Callithrix jacchus: one gene and its partners. The protein of the gene in region 1 interacts with the protein of each later gene in a biochemical or structural test. Links are inferred from orthologs where the notes say so. Each region holds a gene or a part of one and is shown in the gene's direction. Other genes may lie near its edges.

Region 1 (4,154 bases):
ACCTGAGAGTCGGGCCGTTTCTAAGACAATGTGAACAAAGAGGAGCAGGGGGAGGGAAGGAGGGCCCCGCGGGAGGGCTGCGGGCGAGCGTCTGTGTGTGTCGGGGGCGCCGCGCTCCGCGCCCGCGGGCACTGGGGATCCGGTGGCGGGCAGGCTGTCCCGGGTGCAGAGCGCGCCGACTCCAGTTTCTCTGGCCGGCCCGGCCCAGTAGGGCCCCGGACGGCCCCCGGAGGCGGGTTTCTTTGTCCCAGACTCCCGCTGGGCGTGAAGGCCGCCGGCGGCGAGCAGAAACCCGAGCCCGCGCACCGGAGGTCAGGCTTCCACGTGCGGCCCCGCCGCGGAGGGCAGGAAGGAGCGGCAGCGGCCCCGGGGCGCCCCGCGAACATCCTGCGTCCGGCCCTCCCGGCTCCACCGCGGGCTTCGGGCGGTTGGAGGGAGACACTAGAACTCGCCCTTCGCTTCCCCGAGCCGACGTAGGGCTCGGGATGTCGCCGCTCTTCCAAAGGAGCGTGGTTTGGGGGCGAGAGGAAGTCCACTGGGGCGCTCCCCTCGACCCAGACTCCCCGAAGACGCGCGCGCCCTAGTCGAAGTCGGGGACAGAGAAGGTTCTCTGGCGCCCCCCTGCCGACTGTTTGGCTGCAGCCAGGACCCGGGCTGCGGGGCGGGACCTAAACATAGCCCCGACCCAAAGATGCCTAGCAGAACGCTCCAAACAAAACCGAAACGGTGCCCTCATCTGCGTGTGTGTGTGTGTGTGTGTGTGTGTGTGTGTGTGTGACGGGGAAGTGGGGTTCAGATCTAACCGCGTCTTACCTGCAACACAGTTTGTGCTTCTGTGTGTGTGTGTGTGTGTGTGTGTGTGTGTGGCAGAAGAATGGAAGAGAAACTGCCACGGCCATCCAAGCCCATTAAATCAACTCCTCTTCCCTCCGACTCTCTCCACTCAGTCTTATTCTATAACGCAATGCAAGGTTACAGAGCCCAAGTGAAAACTAGTTTCCCAGTTTCACTCTGACCCTCCATCCGTGTAGCCAGCTAGATTTTAGGTTATTGGCTTCCATTCCGCAGAACTTCGAGTCTCAGGAGACTCAAGGTTTCTTCCTCCCGCCTCTCGCAGTGCATCTTTCATCTGCTTTTCTTTGTAAAGCCAGGGCTCCTCGGCTGCCTCCCCAGGAAGTCCTGCGCTCTGGCGCGCCTTGCCTGCCGCAGAGTGGCGCGGGCAGCAGGCCGGGCGCTAGGACCGCGGGGAGCCGGGGCGGCCGCGGCGCTACCTTAAACCCAGCCCAATGCCGCTGCCTGCGCCACTCTGCGCGCCGGCGGGGGCTGCGCAGGAGGAGCGCTCCGCCCGGCTACAACGCTCCGCGAGCCGGCGCGGCAACACCTGTTCGCGGCAGCCAGGGCGGCACGCGAGCTCCCGGACGCGGCTCTCCTCGCTCGCCGCTCGCCACCCGTTCTAAGCCAATGGACATCTGCCGAGCCTCTGCAGAATCCTGGATACTAGCTTTGGACGCCTAAAGTTTCTTTTTGTTTTATTATTATCATTTTTTGAAGGGGGGACCGGGAGGGGAGATTTGTCGCCGCCACCAACGTGAGATTTTTTTTTCCCCTTGAAGGATTCATGCTGATGTCTGCAGAGTCGGTTAGAGAGTAAAAACAGCGCATGCCTTCCTGGAGTCAGGATCCGTAAATTCTGACGTAGCCCGTGCATCTTAAAAATCCCTATAATAACGCCTAGGCATTTAAGTTGCTATGGTCATTCTGATCTCAAACCAAATGGAGAAACTACGGATTTTTTTCCCTTATTACTGTCGGATGGGATGAAGACCTTCCTGCCTGCTAAGAGCTGGGGATCTATCTGTAGCGATACATAGATATGTTTATCAATATGTCAGTGTGTGAGTATAAAGTGGTGGTTTCTTAGACTATCAGTGGTTTGACCTTGAACCTGTGCCAGTGAAACAGCAGATTACTTTTATTTATGCATTTAATGGATTGAAGAAAAGAACCTTTTTTTTCCTCTCTCTCTGCAACTGCAGTAAGGGAGGGGAGTTGGATATACCTCGCCTAATATCTCCTGGGTTGACACCATCATTATCGTTTATTCTTGTGCTCCAAAAGCCGAGTCCTCTGATGGCTCCCTTAGGTGAAGTTGGGAACTATTTCGGTGTGCAGGATGCGGTACCGTTTGGGAATGTGCCCGTGTTGCCGGTGGAGAGCCCGGTTTTGTTAAGTGACCACCTGAGTCAGTCCGACGCAGGGGGGCTCCCCAGGGGACCCGCAGTCACGGACTTGGATCATTTAAAGGGGATTCTCAGGCGGAGGCAGCTATACTGCAGGACTGGATTTCACTTAGAAATCTTCCCCAATGGTACTATCCAGGGAACCAGGAAAGACCACAGCCGATTCGGTAGGTATACCATTAACCCTTTAGTGTCCATGAGATGGCATGTTGGAATTATAACTACCAAGAAGGTGGTGGCCGGGTGGGGAACGTGGGAAGGGATCTCCCCTCCTCCCCTCTTTCTCGGTATCTCTCTTTCTTTCTGTGTCTTGCCAGCTCAGAAAAAAATGCCTCCGGAATTGCAGATCTGCTGCTGGCACTGATGCAAGTATACATCAAAAGGCCCCCTACTTTTAATTTAAAGGGGGGCATAATTTATAAATATAATACAAGTTTCCAGTTCTTTTGCATCAGATACACGGGTTTAGGAAGTTTCTTTTGAATGGACCGATTGCAGGAGTTTAAAGCTTTAATCATTAACTACTAAGAACTTAACAGTTTCCTGAAGGCAGTGGGTATCTTGTGCCCAAATTAAGGTTTTTCACTTTTCCCCTTTCCTGTAATAAGTATACTGCTTGAATTGTTTATTTATTAAGCGCATTGATTATTCCCCCTTGTGAGGGTCTGAAAGCCCTATAGACAAAGGTTGCTGACGGATTGTCCTGTTGGGAGGACTAAAGTCATATTTTAGGCTCCGTGAAAACCGGGGGCAGAGGCTTTGGGAAAATGACTTGGGAAGGGGCAGGACGCTCGCTGGGGATGTTTGTTCTTCCCAGCTATCAAGTGATAATCTCTGCTTTTAAATTTCCATAGCGTGCAGCCCTGTGTGGGTTTCTTGCTTGGTTCTCTGGTGTGAGTGTGTGCGCTCGTGCAAACGTTGCGAGGTAATTTTAAAGGGCATTCCGAGGATTTCATTTTCAGCGAGGGTATTTGTGACTCAGCACTGAGGGCTGCAGACTGGAGGGCTGGTGGCTCTGCCCACTTTATGCCTGCACACACGTGCTTGCCGGGGTACCCTGAGCCCAACAGCACGAAGTCAACTAACACACTCCCGATGGGGTGGACTCTCGAGTTTTTTCCTTACTTAAAAAAGAAAAAATTAAGCGCCAGTTGGGGCAACCAGACTGTTGGAAGGAGTTAACTTCTGAGTGAACCCACCTGACAACACTTAAACTGGGTCGTAAAAAGCAAAGTCCTGCGGTGATTTTTCTTCCTCACGCTTTAGTGCCAGATGTTGAAAACAATCTAAACTATATGTTCAGCTTCGTGCTGCTGCGGATGATGCCAGAAGGTGAGGAGGACTCAGGCCTGGGCGGGGGATAGTCCCAGATCCACGAGGCCCAGGATTTGCTCCTTGTGCTCACCCCGGAGCCTAAGCCCACAGCTGAGCCTAGTAGTGTGAAATTGCTTGGGGCGTCTCCACTCGCTGCTTAAAGAAAGTTGTAGCTCTTTGCTTTGCAATTATTTCAGTTGAAATATAACTATCCCCTCCCCACCCCATTAGTAAAGGTAGCTTCTGGTTGTTGCAAAGGCAAGACTAAACTTTTACTAAAAGTGCCGTTTCCACCTGGCCTCTTTAAGGGCTGCCACCGTGCCTAGCGTTCGACACCAGAACAACAGGCAGTGGGCGGCCCTGGGTGGGCGAGTGAGTGTGTCCGGGGCCGCGTCGGCCACTCGCGGGCGTCGGAGCCGCGCCGGTCGAGGCGAACGGAGTGGGCGGTCGGCCTAGGTGTGCCAGGCGGCCGGAGCCCCAGCCCTCCCGCGCTCGCGGCCGGCAGGTGCCCGCTTGGCCGCCCGGGCCCCGCGGCGCACTTAGTGGCGGCCCGGCCGGCTCCGCGCGGTCCTAAACGCGCTCGTGTTCCGGCTCCCTTTC
Region 2 (3,038 bases), on another chromosome or scaffold:
AGTGGATGGCACCTGAGGCCCTGTTTGACCGCGTCTACACCCACCAGAGTGACGTGTATGTGTCCTGCGGACCCCGGCCTCGGGTGGAGGCGGTAACTGGGCAGAACTGGGACCCAGCTTCAGCCCATACCTGTGCCCTGGGGCTCTTGGGCCTGGTCTCTTACCCCTCCGGGGGCAGCAGCGCAGCCCTGGCCTATTCCCCTGGTGCCCACCCAGGTGTCTGTCCTGGGGAGGTTTCAGGACAGTCTGACCTTGTATCTCTGCAGCTGGTCCTTTGGGGTCCTGCTCTGGGAGATCTTCACACTGGGGGGCTCCCCGTACCCCGGCATCCCTGTGGAGGAGCTCTTCAAGCTGCTGAAGGAGGGCCACCGCATGGACAAGCCCGCCAACTGCACGCACGACCTGTGAGCAGCACCGCTGGTCCTCCCTGGGTCCTCCGGCGTGTTGGGGGCTGGGGGGGGGACTGGCAGCCTGAGGCTATTCCTGAGTAAGGTGGGGGCTCATGCCTGAGCACCCTGCCTGCAGGTACATGATCATGAGGGAGTGCTGGCACGCTGCGCCCTCACAGAGGCCCACCTTCAAGCAGCTGGTGGAGGACCTGGACCGCTTCCTTACTGTGACATCCACCGACGTGAGTGCGGGCCCTGGGCTGGTGCCACTCCCCTACCCCCCAGCCCCACCCTGGCCATCCTACCCCAGAAGGCTGAGGTGTGGGGCGGGCCTCTGGGGCACAGCCTGGGCACAGCGGTGGCCGTGGGAAGAGGGGCTTTGTGGGACAGCACTCACCCTGCCTTCCGCGGCAGGAGTACCTGGACCTGTCGGCGCCGTTTGAGCAGTACTCTCCCGGTGGCCAGGACACCCCCAGCTCCAGCTCCTCAGGGGACGATTCCGTGTTCGCCCACGACCTGCTGCCCCCGGCCCCACCTGGCAGTGGGGGCCCGCGGACGTGAAGGGCCGCTGTGGGTCCCCAACAATGTGAGGGGGTCCCTAGCAGCCCACCCTGCTGCTGGTGCACAGCCACTCCCTGGCACGAGACTCAGTCCAGAGGGACAGACGGCCACACAGAGCTTTGGCCTTTGTGCGCGCGCGAGTGCATGTGTGTGTGCGCGCCTGTGCGTCTTGTGGCCTCCGGGTGCAGAGGTCCCCTGGGTGTCCCCGCTGCTATGCAGTGGCCTCCTGACTGGTGCCGCAGCACCAGGGGGCCTTTGACCTGGGGTGACCCAGTGTGGAATGTAAGTGGGCCCAGCCTGTGGGACCCCCGTGGGGCAGGGAGCCGGGCCTGATGTGACCCTGGCCTCTGCTCTTGCATCGTGGAGCATCACAGGGTGGCTTCCGGCCCTCCCACTCCCAAAGCTGAGCCTGCAGGGAAGCCCCACGTGTTGAGCACCTTGTGCCTGGGGGTGTTAGTGGCACTGCCCCCCACATCCAGGCTTTCCTCATTCCCACCCTGCCCCTCAGAGACTGAAATTACGGGTACCTGGAGGTGGGAGCCTTTACCTTTTATTTAAAAGGTTTATTCCAGAAACTAGTGTACATTTCTATAAATAGATGCTGTGTATATGGTATATATACATACATATATATATAAAATATATGGAAGAGAAGGCTGGTACAACGGAGGCCCGAGGCCCTGGGGTCGCAGGAGGCAGACGTGGCCCCGGGCCGTGGCGGAGGCCTCAGGGGTCTCACATACAAGCAGAGGAGCAGGGCCGTTTCTGGCATTGGTTTTGTTTTAAAATTGTACCTGGACCTGTACATTTGTAAAGCTATTTATGGCCCCGGCACCTTGTTCCTATACCCCAACACTTGTAGCATTTATTTAGCCAGCCACAGGGTGGAGAGTTTTAATTTTTAACTTATTAACAGCCGAGAAGGTTTATCCCGCCTATAGACTGTGCGTCCAGCCTGCCCCAGGCTGGGGGGGGTCCCCTCTGAGTCTTCGAGGTGGTTCATAGTTGGAGGGGATGCTGGCGAGGATATTTTATTTCCTTTGTCCTCCTTTTGCAGGAGAATTAGATTTCTATAGGATTTTTTTTTTTAGGAGATTTGGTTTTTGGACTTCAAAGCAAGCTGGTATTTTCTCACAAACTCCTCTAATTGCTGCGTGTCCCAGGCCGGGAGGCGGTTTCCAGGGAGGGGCCGGCCTTGTGTGCAGGTCAGATGTTATTAGATGTTACAAGTTTATATATATCTATATATATAATTTATTGAGTTTTTACAAGATGTAGACTTAACACTTCTTACGCAATGCTTCTGGAGTTTTATAGCCCAGACTGCTACCCTTCAGAGCTTGGAGGGGAGCCGTGAATTCAGTTACTGGGCTGAGTCTGGGCGGCTGTCCCTTGCTTGCCTGCAGGGCCGTGGCTCAGGGTGGTCTCTTCCTGGGGCCCAGTGCATGGTGGCCAGAGGTGTCACCCAAACTGGCAGGTGTGATTTTGTTAGCCCATCGACGAACTTTCCAAAAAAATAAAGAGACGTCTGGTTCCTAACCTGACTGTGTGCTTTCTATTCATCCAGTCGTTCTGGGACAGAGGAGGGAGGGGTCACTGGCCGCCGGGCGGTCCCAGCTGCGCCGCACAGCCCCGCAGGTCACTGGTGGTCTGGGAGCCCCTAGGACGAGGACTGTGTATGAGGGGCCTGGTGAGAGGGAGCAGGGTGCTGGGGGGTGCACCGCCCTGGCTGCTCCCAGCTCGTGGATTCCTGAGGTGGTGGGGGGGGATCCTGTCTCTTCACCCTACCCCTGGCATCTGCCTTCCCGGTCAACTGGGGAGCTTTCTGGGTATCCCCCCCCACCCCCCCCCGCCTACATGGAACCAAAAGTAAGCAAAGCCCTCATGGGCCCCTGGGGGCTATACAGGCGGGCCCTCCTCCAGGTTAGCTCTACCCTCCCAGGCCAGGTGACCCGTGCCCCACTGCCTTGGGCTCCGCCAGGGTCGCTCCTGTGCTCTTCTCCCCTCTGCCGTCCTCCCTCTGGTGTCCTCCCCTCTGCTATCCTCCCTCTGCTGTCCTCCCTCTGCCGTCCTCCTCCCTCTGCCGTT
Region 3 (4,341 bases), on another chromosome or scaffold:
GGAGACTCGCTTGAACTAGGGAGTGGAAGATTGCTGTGAGCTGGGATCGCACCACTGCACTCCAGCCTGGCGACAGAATGAGACTGTCTCCGAAAAAATAAAAAAGAGAAAAGAAGGGGGAAAAAAAGGAAAAATAATGTGAGGACCCATTTCTTAAATTAACAGGGGTGGGGTGGGGAGGAGCAGTGGGTGGGATGGGGGAGGAGTTGCGTGGGGGATCTCATTCAGTATTCAAACTCTTACAAATTTGGGGGTTGAGGTGGGTGATGGTGAGGGAACAGGCCCTGCCACTAACTTACATAGTGACATTTATTTGTGTAATATTTTTGGCACACTGATGCCTATTATTGTATTTGATTCTTATGACCATCTTGTGAAGGAGTAGCAACAGATACCCCTGTTTTGATTTTATCAGATGCATGACTTGTCCTGCATCAAACTTCATAAATGGACAGAATGGAGGAATCCTTCAGCCCTAGAGCTTCCTGCTTCCCACCCTAACAGTGGCCTCAGCCTGGGCTCACATCATAGGCCCCACGGAGCCTTGGAAAAAACATAGATTCTTGGCTCCTTCCTGGGACAGCGCGATTCCTCATGTCTGAGCAGGCCCATGAATTTGTATTTTTCAAGAGTTCTTTACAGGACCCGTGTCCATTTGGATTAGGGAACCACTAGATTATACCATTCCACGGAAGACTCAGGGGGAAGCATTTTAGCCACTTTCCCAGGTTCCATAGTATTGGAGGGTGTTCTGAGTGGGCTGTGATTAATTTCCAAACCAACCACACCTCTCCCCTCAACTCCCACTGCTTACTCTTTGCTTCCTAGACGTTCACTGCAGGCTGGAGACTTCCGGAGGCCAACAACATCGCTGAAGAATTTACAGAGTCCAGTTCCCGGTGGACCACAAAACCTAAATTATGTGGCTGGGGAAAGCTGAGATCCAAAGGAAGGGTTTGAGGAGGGGCTGACCTTCTCAAGAATAAAATCAGCTTGTATTTATTAAGTGTTAACTATGCGCCAGGCCCTCGTTGACGCCTCAACTCTATACGAAAAGCACTATTATTCCCCTTTTACAGATGGCAAAACCGAGATTAGAGCGCGAAAATCATTTCCCCAAGGCGCACAGACTCCAAAGGCCACGCTACCAGGTACAACCTCAGGGCTGCAGCGTCTCTTCACCTGGCCCCCCACGCGGCTGCTGTGTCTAGGGCCTGAAATCCCGGCGCCCTCTGGGACGTGCTCAGATGCAGCGGCGCGAGCGCCAGAGGAGACCAGGCTGCGGGAAGGGAAGGGCCGAGCGGAGGACAGCTTGGCCCGCTCCCCCTCCTCGGGGGCCGCGGCTCGGGAACTACAAGGCCCAGCAGGCAGCGGCAGAGGGCGGAGGCGGAGGAGGGACCAGCGCTGGTGGGAGTGAGAGGGCGAGCCCTCGCGCCTCGCCGGCGCACAGCGCTCGGAGCGCTCCTGCGGCCACAGGCTCGGCGGCCTCGGCGGCGGGCGGCAGGCAGCGGGAGCCGGGACGCCGGTGCAGCCGCAGGGCGCGGAGGAACCCGGGCAGTGCCAGGAGCTAGGCGGCCACGTCCGGACCGGACCGGACCGAGAGTCCGCGTAGCGCATTGCGGCGACCTCGCCTTCCCCGGCCGCGAGCGCGCCGCTGCTGGAAAAGCCGCGGAGCCCGAGGACTTTTCTCTGCTCCGAGCTCGGGGCGCCCCGCAGGACGCACGGTACCCGTGCTGCAGTCAGGCACGCCGCGGCGCCAGAGCCTCCGCGGGGCGATGGATCCTGGTCTGCAAGGAGCGTGAGGCGCCTCCGCTGCGTTCCGGAGAAGGGGGGCGCAGGGTCTGGAGACCCGGGCAGCGGACGGGAGCCCTCCCCCCGCCCCGCCTCCGGGGCACCAGCTCCGGCTCCATTGTTCCCGCTCGGGCTGGAGGCGCCGAGTACCGAGCGCTGCCGGGAGTCGAGCGCCGGCCGCGGGGCTTTCGCGACCCCGCCAGCACCCGAACAGAGCCCGGGGGCGGCGGGCCGGCGCCGGGGACGCGGGCACACGCCCTCTCGCACAAGCCACGGCAGACTCTCCCGAGGCCGAACCTCCACGCCGAGCGAGGTAAGAGCCGCGGCGCCCCCGATCCGGGGCGGACTAGCGTCCCGAGCAGCCCCAGGCGCCGGAGCCTTCCGGCTGCGCGCTTCGCCCGCCGCAGCCCAGCCGGGGCCGGCGCCTCCCTCCGCTCGCCGCCCGCCCCCTCCACCTCCCGGCTCCCTCCCCGGCAATCCGCGCCCCCCTTGGGTCTCCCCTCCCTTCCCTCCGCCCGCGTCGCCTTCTGCGCCCCCTCCCTGCGCTCGTCCCGCCGGTCTTCCCGCCGCCCAACTTTTCCGCCAACTCGCGCTCGGGAGCTGACGAGGCGGCGGCGGCGGCTACTCGGTGAGTCCCGGGAGGGACAGGGCTGGAGTGGGCGGCGAGGGGGGCGGTGTGTGTGTGTGTGTGTGTGTGTGTGTGTGTGTTGCATTCCGCTCCATCTCTTCTTAGTCCCCTTTTGGGGATTCACCCCAATTCAGCAGGTAGCTTTGGGCTCAACGCTAAAAATCCGTGACATTCCTAAGTCCTTTTCCACCCCCGGGAAAGTCTGGGGTCCGGGTGGGGGGCGAGTGGGCGGGGGGATGAAATGCGGAGGACGTGGAGAGCTAGGTTAGCTTCTCTTGGAATACGTTTTAAGGAGGTGTCGTCACCAAATGGCTGAATCTGCTTGAGCTGAAAGCGAAAAACGACTCCCCTTTCCAGAAGGGGTGATCTACTTGGACGGTCTCAGAAAGGGTCGGAAGTTTGGGGAACGGGAGGACGACCCGCGGTCGTTAAGCCGAGGTATGGGGCGGGGGCAGGGGCTGGGGCTGGGGCCGGGGCTGTTCCGTCCCAATCTGGTTCTTGGAGGTGGAGGAAGGGATGTGGGTTTTGTCCGGTGCGGTTCACTCGGCTGCGATGCGTGTGCTTGTCTAGCCCAGACCCCTCTGCGCTCCGCGTCCCCTCCCGTTATGTTTGGTGTTGGTAGAAAGGGAGGCTACGACCCACGTCGGCAGAGAAATTTGTGGACGTTGTAGATGGGGTTCATATAGAACACCCCCTGTGAGGCAGCCAGACACTTTGTGTGGTGGTGGTGGGGGAGGGAGGGTGAAGCCTGTTTCTTGTTCTGGGCCCAGAAGCTATCAGCCCGTTTGAAGAACATTTCCACGGTGCGGTTCTCCCCTAGCCCTCCCCCATCCCCATTTTCCAGATGTGGCGGCCGCATCTGGTTCCGTTTCACCCCACACGGGTACACCGCAGCCGCATTATTAACTTACCTCTTCCTCCCCTCCCCCTCCCCCAAATTAAAACTCGGATTCTTCAACTCGCCTTGACCACCTCTCTCCTCATCATTTCTGGAGACTTGGAGATGCGGCATTGAGATTCAGGGGAGAAAAGAAAGTTCCCTTGAATCCCGAGTTATTTAAGTTCCCACCAAGTTATTCGCCGCCGCTGGTGGGTGACGGCGGTCGGGGTGCTTTCTGGATTGCGCAGAAAAGAGGCATCTTGGGAGATGGGGCCAAGGTTTTAGGGGATAGCACTTGCGAACGGTTCATCCGCTAGACTAGGGGGGCTCTTTGGCCGTGCGTCTGGCCAGAAGTGGCCTTGACGATGGAAGTTTCTGGAACCAAAGCATTGCTTTCTTTCCCTTGAGTTACAGTTGGAGTTGCAGGAGCGCCTGCCCCGCCCGGAGCCCGCGGTCCCCTCTCGGCCGCCCCGCGGTGGCGTCACGCGCCCCTTCTTCCCCTCCCGGAGCGAGCCCGGTGCGCAGGGCCGGGGGGCGTGGGCGGCTGTTGCCAGAGGTGCTCTCTGTGTTTTTAAGGATTGATTTGGGCCACATCCCCGGAAGCTAAGTGGGACATTTTACCGTTTAAATAACGGCCACAGGTTTGAAAGCGGGGGTTGGATTGTCAAGTTGTGTTTGGTCATAGTCTTTGAGGCAGGAAAGCACCTTGTGGTCCAAAGTTGCAGGAGGGTGGGGAGAGTCGGGAGAGTCGGTCTCTCACCCGCTTCTTTCCAGTCTCTTTCAAATTGAAAACACTTCTCTGGTTTCCTTCTTTGGGCGGTAGTTTTGGAGGCTGTAATGAAATCGCACTTTCTCTAGACGTGGTAATTAAGGTGACTGTTTCCTCCGCAGATGTGCCCTGCCCTTTGCACCTCCGGACCAGCGCTTTTTTTGGAATACCACCTAAATGGGAAAACCTTAGCCTTGAGACTGTTGAGCAGAAAGTGGCCATTTTCCTCCCTTGGCTCGGGCTCCCGGTTTCCTCCCTGAGGCTTCTTTAAAA

The links.
Region 2: the proteins of FGF9 (region 1) and FGFR3 form a complex in vitro, tested with the Homo sapiens proteins (3 studies listed by BioGRID and IntAct, with this or other methods). The link is inferred for Callithrix jacchus from reciprocal best matches to the Homo sapiens genes FGF9 and FGFR3.
Region 3: the proteins of FGF9 (region 1) and FGFR1 interact in a biophysical measurement, tested with the Homo sapiens proteins (2 studies listed by BioGRID and IntAct, with this or other methods). The link is inferred for Callithrix jacchus from reciprocal best matches to the Homo sapiens genes FGF9 and FGFR1.

What each region holds. Positions count from the first base shown.
Region 1 is NC_133506.1:141,189,997-141,194,150, forward strand, and holds the start of FGF9 (fibroblast growth factor 9), read left to right. Parts: upstream 1-1,300; 5' UTR 1,301-2,130; coding exon 2,131-2,407; intron 2,408-4,154.
Region 2 is NC_133504.1:191,344,314-191,347,351, reverse strand, and holds the end of FGFR3 (fibroblast growth factor receptor 3), read left to right. Parts: coding exon 1-55; intron 56-266; coding exon 267-404; intron 405-525; coding exon 526-631; intron 632-803; coding exon 804-950; 3' UTR 951-2,489; downstream 2,490-3,038.
Region 3 is NC_133514.1:39,299,170-39,303,510, reverse strand, and holds the start of FGFR1 (fibroblast growth factor receptor 1), read left to right. Parts: upstream 1-1,444; 5' UTR 1,445-2,104; exon of another isoform or gene 2,105-2,419; intron 2,420-2,696; exon of another isoform or gene 2,697-2,857; intron 2,858-4,341. UniProt on the Homo sapiens protein: Tyrosine-protein kinase that acts as a cell-surface receptor for fibroblast growth factors and plays an essential role in the regulation of embryonic development, cell proliferation, differentiation and migration.